2 linked regions of the Cricetulus griseus genome follow. The protein of the gene in region 1 purifies or fractionates together with the protein of each later gene. This does not show direct contact. Links are inferred from orthologs where the notes say so. Each region holds a gene or a part of one and is shown in the gene's direction. Other genes may lie near its edges. The genes, in order: Spsb4 and Cul5.

The links.
Region 2: the proteins of Spsb4 (region 1) and Cul5 purify together in Homo sapiens (co-immunoprecipitation; 4 studies listed by BioGRID and IntAct, counting the BioPlex papers as one, with this or other methods). This does not show direct contact. The link is inferred for Cricetulus griseus from reciprocal best matches to the Homo sapiens genes SPSB4 and CUL5.

The regions. Positions count from the first base shown.
Region 1 is NC_048597.1:205,571,239-205,575,047, reverse strand, and holds part of Spsb4 (SPRY domain-containing SOCS box protein 4), read left to right. Parts: intron 1-1,858; 5' UTR 1,859-2,011; coding exon 2,012-2,705; intron 2,706-3,809. UniProt on the Homo sapiens protein: Substrate recognition component of a SCF-like ECS (Elongin BC-CUL2/5-SOCS-box protein) E3 ubiquitin-protein ligase complex which mediates the ubiquitination and subsequent proteasomal degradation of target proteins.
Region 2 is NC_048597.1:165,392,404-165,396,933, reverse strand, and holds the start of Cul5 (cullin-5), read left to right. Parts: upstream 1-1,682; 5' UTR 1,683-2,158; coding exon 2,159-2,182; intron 2,183-4,530. UniProt on the Homo sapiens protein: Core component of multiple cullin-5-RING E3 ubiquitin-protein ligase complexes (ECS complexes, also named CRL5 complexes), which mediate the ubiquitination and subsequent proteasomal degradation of target proteins.

The DNA.
Region 1 (3,809 bases):
GGCTGCCCTCAGACTCCCTCCCCCAAATTAATTCATTCTTCACCTTTAAATTCGGCCTCTGTGAAGTCTCAGGACACAGACAAAATATGCATAGCTTCTTTGCCAGAGAGTAACTCAAGTGGCCCGGGGTTCAGTTCCCATGAGACATTGTTTCTGCTGGAACTGGATAAGATGTCTTACTGCTTTTGGCATTCCCTTCGGCATCCTGGTCTCCTTAGGTCTCAGAATCACCAGGGAAGCTGTGCTAACAGCGTTGTAGGATTTCTACGGCTGCCTTCTCCAAACTTTCTGAATTCTTCTAACAAATTACTTCCAGGAGCTTCTATACCTCGTGGTCAGGTATAGTCACCACACCAGCTGTGTATCTCAGTGTCAGCTTTCTGTGTCTGGCAGCCTTTTGTGCTATGACAAAATGCCTGACAGAATGCCCTAGAGAAGAAAGGATTTCCTTTCCTTGAAATTGCAGAGGTTTCTGATTATCATAGCAAAGAGGGCATGGCCCAGCACAGCAACCTACATCATGGCGATGGTAGTCAGGAAGGTAGGGGAGAGAAAATGCCTACAGTAGGGAGCTTTCTCTTCTCCCCCTTTTATTCTATCTGAATCGACAGCCTAAGGGTGGGCATTCCACTCTTGTTTAACTCTTTCTGGAAATGTCCTGATAGATACACCTAGAGGTGAGCTTTACTAATCTCATAGGTGCTTCTTAAATTGACAGTGAAGATGAACCATCACCAATAGGAAATCATGGGTAGGCAAGACAAAGCATGGCAGCATCCTATCTTCTCATTTGTCTTGGGAAAGTTGTCTTGAGCCACGCTGCTCCCAAGCTAGGGAAGAAGAAGGCACATACCGGTCCTCTGCCTGCCATGGGAGTCAGGTAGGGCAAAGCTCTACCTTCCTCTTCCCATAATTAGGGCCATCCAGGCACCCCAAGATTCCTGGAGCCTCAATGACCTTTCTGTGGTCACTTCTCCTGGAAAAATGTATTAAGGAATGTTAACTAGGATAAATGTTATCAATGATATTTCTATACCCAGGGAAAACACTGGTGTATCCAAGAGAAATAATTCCCTGTGGGATCTCTGAAGAACAAAGCCAAAAGGACACCTGCTTCCAGGATTCCAGATCTGAGCTTTTATCATATTATCTTTCAAGTTTCAGACCACATGAAGGGAGGTGTTTTATCCCATCTTACAGAGGAGGAAAGTAAAGTCAAGGAGAAGCTTTAAATAGAGAAGGATTTGTACCAGTGCTCTTTGGCCGCACAGTTTGGATTTACCAGCTCTTTTCCTCTTTCGTTGCCATTTATTTTCCCGTGGCGACAACACACCATCCTCAAATAGTTTCTGGAATCCTTGTCCCTGGGTGACCCTGCTGGATACTTGCTCTGTGTCTTACAAACCTGGTTTGGGGAGGTTTTAAGATATTTTTTTAAGCTCCAGACAACTGGAGCCTAAACTCATGAGTCACATGCTAAATGTGTATAACCCTGTGTCTCAGCACTCCATTTTCTGGGGGTTCAGTTCTTCTTGAGACAGTGATTTCCAGTGGTGGTTGTTCTGGTGCCAGAGAACAGAACCTGAGAGCAAAGGACCTTGGTTTGACTGGTGGCTCAGTCACTTATTACCTGTGAGACTGGCTAGTCACTGACCTCTGTAAGATTTAGATGAATGGGGAAACCTTAATCATTGAGGACAGTGTCTGCCATATCTCATATACTTAGAAAGTACTAGATATGAAGTATCATTAATTATTATGCACATTAGTTATGTAGTAGGGCCAGGGCATAAGTGAAGGGATGAGTAGCTGGCTGTCCATGCTTCTATCATAACCTGTGCCCTTTGCTTCCTTCCAGGAGCTTGGGCCCCTGCCACAGCCCAGCAGAGGCTGTGTAGATCAACCATCAGGAAGCCTGGTTCCCAGCCCCGGGGTCCATCCCTGGCTGCGGGGAGTGGAGGCTCCTGCGAGGTAGCAGTGGCCCGCAGCGGTCCCCTCCCCATAGTGAGCCATGGGTCAGAAGCTCTCTGGGAGCCTCAAGTCCGTGGAGGTACGAGAGCCATCACTACGGCCAGCCAAGCGGGAGCTTCGAGGCTCAGAGCCCGGGCGGCCAGCACGGCTAGACCAGCTGCTGGACATGCCTGCGGCAGGGCTGGCTGTGCAGCTGAGACACGCGTGGAACCCCGAGGACCGCTCGCTCAATGTCTTCGTCAAGGATGACGACCGCCTCACCTTCCACCGCCACCCGGTGGCCCAGAGCACGGATGGCATCCGCGGCAAAGTGGGCCATGCCCGGGGCCTGCACGCATGGCAGATCCACTGGCCAGCTAGGCAGCGGGGCACCCATGCTGTGGTGGGCGTGGCCACGGCCCGTGCCCCTTTGCACTCAGTGGGTTACACCGCACTGGTGGGCAGCGACTCCGAGTCATGGGGCTGGGACTTGGGCCGCAGCCGCCTCTACCACGATGGCAAGAACCGTCCTGGGGTAGCATACCCTGCTTTCCTGGGGCCAGATGAGGCCTTTGCTCTGCCAGATTCCTTATTGGTCGTGCTGGACATGGACGAGGGCACGCTCAGCTTCATCGTGGATGGCCAGTACCTGGGCGTGGCCTTCCGTGGCCTCAAGGGCAAGAAACTGTACCCGGTCGTGAGTGCTGTGTGGGGCCACTGTGAAGTCACCATGCGCTACATCAATGGCCTTGACCGTAAGTTTGCTGACCTAGATGGCAAGGGGTGCTGAGGCTCCCTGCCCCAGGAGGCTAGGGAGGGGGGAAGCAGAGCAGGTAGAGCAGCAGTTGGGGAATCCCGCCGTTTTCAGCAGTGGTCAGGGCCCTTGAACTCTGACCTCGTTGACGGCTAGGCAGTTTGGAGGCTGTGCAAGTGGCACGGTGGTCATAATCTAACCCGGGGCACTCAGGAGGGTCACATGGCATACTCCAACTCAGGGCACTCAGGAGGGTCATCTAGGATCATATGTGTACTTAGAACAGTAAATGCACTTGATAAGGGCTGTGGATGCTAAAGAGACTTATGAAATGACCCAAGCTGGAGAGCATCACTCATGCCCAGTCCCTGGGTGGAAGTCTAGCTATTAAACAAGAAGTAGTGTTAGCAACTGTCATTTGTTGCCACCTACTGTATGCAGGTCCAAACACCCAAATCCCAGCTCCTCCTGGCAGCTGTCAAAGGAGGTAAACTACTCTCACCTCCAGCTGACTGTAGCCTGTGGAAAGAAGCCCTGTACTATGGAATTCTGCCATTTTTCCAGACAACCAGAAATCTAGATACTGGGAAGTGTCCCAGCAGCTGCTAAAGACTGTGTGGTTGGAGTGAAAATCCTCCGTTGCTGGGTTTCACCCTAGCAACATGAGGTCTTCCTTTATTTAAAATGCATAACCTATGAGGTGGTTTAAAGGTCACAGTAATGTCAGGTAGTGGCGGCGGTGCAGCTTTTATTCCCAGCACTCGGGAGGCAGAGGCAGGGACAGGAAGTGTAGCTTCCAGGAAAGGCACACATAGCTACATGACCCAACTCAATCCCAGCACTTTATTGGGCTTGCTCACTCATACCAGCTATTGTGGTTTAAACATGAAATGTCCCTCATAGGCTCATATATTTGAACACTGTTCCCCCTCAGGAAATGGAACCTTATGGGAGGAAGCTAATCATGGAGGGGGTGGATCTTGAGTTTCTATAGCCTGGCTTCACTTTATGTCAGTGCTCTGCTGCTTGACTATAAATGTCATGTGACCAGCTGCCTCCTCCTTCTGCTGTTAGACTTTTCTTGTCATGGGGACCATATACCTTC
Region 2 (4,530 bases), about 40 Mb from region 1:
TGTAGCTCTGGTTAGCTGGAACTCACTAGAGTGCTGGGATTAAAAGTGTGAGCCACTACCACCCAGCCAAAAACACACTTATAACAAAGGTTTCTTTTTTTGTGTAACTCTGAGTGTCCTGGAACTCTCTTTGTAGACAAAGGCTGGCCTTGAACTCCCAGAGATACGCTTACCTCTGCCTCGTGAGTGCTGGTATTCAAGGCTGGAATTCAAAGTGTGTGCCACCATCAGTGAGAACTTTCATTTTAAAGTATTCCAGATGGTACATTTTATAAATGACTTATTGCCCCACAAATGCTAGGCAAGCTCTTAGACACACACACTCACACACACACACACACACACTCTCTCTTTCCCCCTGACTCGCCCCACTCCCAGATGATTTAGAATTCATCTTTGTAGCAGAAGGGCATCGAACCTGCAATCCTCCTGCCTTAGCCTCCTGTAAGCTTACAGGTCTTACCCACCAGGCCTGGCAAATATGTAATTTAAAAATATATAATATATAATATATAAATTTTGCAGGGCGGCAGAGTCAGTTTGATCTCTGTGAGTTTGAGGCCAGCCTGGTCTACAAGGAAAGTTCCAGGACAGTCAGAGCTGTTACACAGTGAAACTCTGTCTCAAAAAACCAAAAATAAATAAATGAAATAAATAAATAAAATTCAAGGGTCCATGGAGCTTGCTGGCCACTAGCCTAGTTCAAGGTTCAAGTGACCTGTCTATCTTAAGGCAATGTAGCCAGGGAGCGATAGATGTCTTCATGAACACCTTTATAAAGGTACAAAAGAATGCTGTTAGTGTGGTGGTAGTGATGCTCGCCTTTGGTCCCAGCTCTCGGGAGGCAGAGGCAAGGAGAGCTCTGTGAGTTAAAGGCCAGCAAAGTCTACAGAGGAGTGCCAGGACAGGCTCCAAAGCTACACTGAGAAAACCTAGTTCTAAAAACCAAAAATAAATAAACTCACCCTAAACAAACAAAACATCCCCAACCCCCTAACCAAATGTTAGGAATTTGCATAATGCAATAACAGCCAACCTGTGAGATCCCTATATAAACTCTATTCTCTTGTTTAGAGATTCGTGATTTGAAGAGACACAGTTTGGAGAAAATAGTATAGGATGCTCTAGGTCTAGGATTTTTTTAAAAGAGTTTTTTGTTTGTTTTTAAGATTTATTACATATATACTGTTCTATCTACAAGCCAGGAGAGGGCACCAGATTGAATTGTAGATGGTTGTGAGCCACCATGCGGTTGCTGGGAATTGATCTCAGGACCTCCGGAAGAGCAGTCAGTGCTCTTAACCTCTGAGCCATCTCTCTCCAGCCCCTAGGATATGTTTGAAGGAGTCCGAGATTAATAAACACTTCTTGAACAAGCCGGGCATTTTTGAGCAGAGTGATGCTAGTTAACACGTTCGTACATCCATTTACTAAACGAGTAAATCTTGACTGGGCGCCTTTTCCCCGAGTCAGTCTTTACAGAGGACAGCAGTAAAAAAAAAAAAAAAAAAAAAAACCCTTTCCTGGCTAATCTCATCCAGAGCTGCGAATGAATCGCAGTCCCCGGATCTGGGGCGGCGAGCGGGTGGGGCGGCGCCGGCTCCAGCCAATAGGGGGCGCGCTCCGCCCTGCTCCCTGCCTCCGGACCCAGCGGCTTGCAGGCTCCTCGGTTGCTCCCAAGCACGCCCCCGCCCGCAGCGTCACGTGACGCCACCACGGAACCCAAGGAGCCGGGCCTAAGCCGAGTTAAAAGTCGTTGCCGGCGGCCGCCGCGAGTGCAACCCGAGAGGCTCACCCGGAGACGAGTGTGGCAGGCCCGGGGAGGTAGATGCTACCTTTTCCCGGTCAGGTCGGCTCCCGGTCCCTTGCCACCATTCGCCGCTCGCGTCTCCTTGAGCCTTTGCATGCGCTCTCTCGCGTGAGCAGGCCCCGGTTACCATGTAGCGGGAAAGCCTGAGGGAGCACGGGTGCCGGGTACGAGCTCAGCGCTGACGGCACGCAGCTTCGGCGTGTGTGGCCCCCCTTCCCCCTTCCGCCCCCCGCATCTCTGCCGCGGCCCGCGGGGCCCTGCTGGGAACTCCGGCCTCCCGAGGAGGCCTGGCCCCGAGCGCCGCCAATTCTCGCCGCCGCCTCTCGCGAGAGTCCAAGTTGAAGGAACATGGCGACATCTAATCTGTTAAAGGTAAGCCCCTGTCTCCAGCCGGGTTTCTGCTCGCGGCCGACGCGTTTAGTTCCTGGGTGAGCACCGGGCTCCGAGTGAGCGGCGAGATGTGAGAGTGTCTCAGGCTTGTCCACCGGAAGGGACCCGGGACGGCTGCCCCGAATACCCCGACGCCGGGCCCTGGCCTCGGGGTCCAGAGGCTTCGGTGGTTGCTCCCGCTGACTGACTGACTGACTGACTGACTGACTGACTGACTGGGAGGGATGCTTTCAAGGGACCAACCCAGGCTGCGGGCGACAGCAGTGTCGCTGGGCCCCCGGCGGGCGGCCCAGCCATTGTGACTCTTAGGGTCCGTTTCTTCCGAAGCGAGAGTCAAAGACATAATAGGAAAATTCTCGACAAAATGCTGCCTAGCAGGTTTTGACTAGGACCCCCCCCCCCCCGCTTCCTCCCCGGTTCCTTAATTTCTGTTCTCACTCTGCCTCCAGGAAATGCGAGTCAGATAGCAGTGCCTCCCACTCCGCCCCGTTTCTCCCTTTTCTGCATGTTACATCTTCCCTCCAGTTCTCTTGTTCTTGACTTCATGTTCCCATGCTTTTTGTTCCTCGAGGAACTGTCTCTCCCAAGCCTCGACTCCCCTTAGAGGACATCAGGTGACACCCGATGAAGTGCCACCGTCTTTTTAGCTGGTGGGAAAGTTTTTCTTATCAAAGAAGACATTGGGAAGTTTTTAAGTGTCAAGAAAGGCCCGGGGTTGGGGGATGGGGGGCAAATTCTGTTAAAAACTTAGGTAAGGACTGAGGAAGATATGGGGCAGGTTTGAGCTATTTGTGTTTTTAGTTAAGAGTCCTGTCCTAAAAGTATTGACTGAAATGGGGGTAGTGATTACCTGAGGGAAAATAAACACTGTATTCAGGCTCTGTGGATGAATAATAATAATGAAATAGAGAATGTGCCCTCCCCCCCCCCAAAAAAAAGCAGGGTCTCTTTAGCCCCATCTTGCCAGAATTTGCTGTATAACTCAGCAGGCCTCAAACTCACAGAACTGCCTCTGTCTGTGCTGAGATTGAAGACTTGCATCACCACCCTGGAGAGTCCTTTAAAAGGACCTAGATTCCCTGAATTTGTCTCTTGTTTTTTTCTTTGTTTGTTTTGTTTTGTTTTTTAAGACAGGATTTCTCAGGTAGCCTTGGCTGTCCTTGAACTAGCTCTGTAGAGCAGTGTGGCTTTGAACTCAGTGATCTGCTTGTCTGCCACCCTCTTCCCCAGTGATGGAATAAAAGCCATGTGCCACCACACCCATCTGAATTTCTGTCTCTTAAGAGCTTCATGGTATTGAGTTCCTTAACCTCTGCCCAAGCTTCTTCCTTCAGGAAGATGAAATTATCAGTACCATTTTTCATAGCCCTGTTGTGATCAAATGATTTACTTATGATGCTTTAAAAACAGTGATTGCACTTAATATGCAATTCACTAAAGCACTAGAACTTCTGTGCCTATTCCTATAGGAAAACCATTGGGCAGTGGCAACACACACTTTTAATCACAGCACTTGAGAGGCAGAGCAGGTGGAGGCCAGCCTGGTCTACAAAAACAAGTTCCAGGACAACCAGGGCTGTTAATACAGACAAGTTGTTACCCTGTCTTGAAAAACAGCTAACAAGAAGAAATAAACTAAAAAGAAAAAAGAAAAAAAAAAAGAAGAAAGAAAAACAGGTAAAACTGGGCCTGGGGTTGCAGGTCATTACCAATATGAAGGTCACTGAGGCAGGAGGATCATGAATTCTAGCCTAAACTAGTAGTAGTGAATTTGGAACCAGCTCAGACTACATTATATATAGACTAATTCACAGAAATGATATTACTGACTCTACTCTGCTTTGTTTTTCATAATACTGTAGCAAAATTCTTTTTAACATTTCATTTGTTTGTTTGTTTTTTGTTTTTGTTTTTTCGGGACAGGGTTTCTCTGTAGCTTTGGAGCCTGTCCTGGAATTCACTCTGTAGACCAGGCTGGCCTTGGCTGTCTGCCTCCCGAGTGCTGGGATTAAAGCCACCACTGCTCAGCTTAATCCCAACAACATTCTTAAAGTAGAGGCAGGCTTGATGTCTGAATTCCAGGCCAGCCAGGGCTATTGTCAGATCCTGTCTTTAAAACAAAAAAGAAAAAATAAATAAAAGATAAGAGTCTGAAGTCAGATGTCAAACACACTGCAGAGTTTTTGATGACCTTGTCTTGTGAAATAATAACCATGGGAAAAAGCAAATTTTGGAAATGAATATTATTTAGTATGTGATTTATTTTTTATTTCTTTATAGTTCTGGTTGGTCTTGGTATTTCCTGTATAGATAGATTAGAAAGATGTACA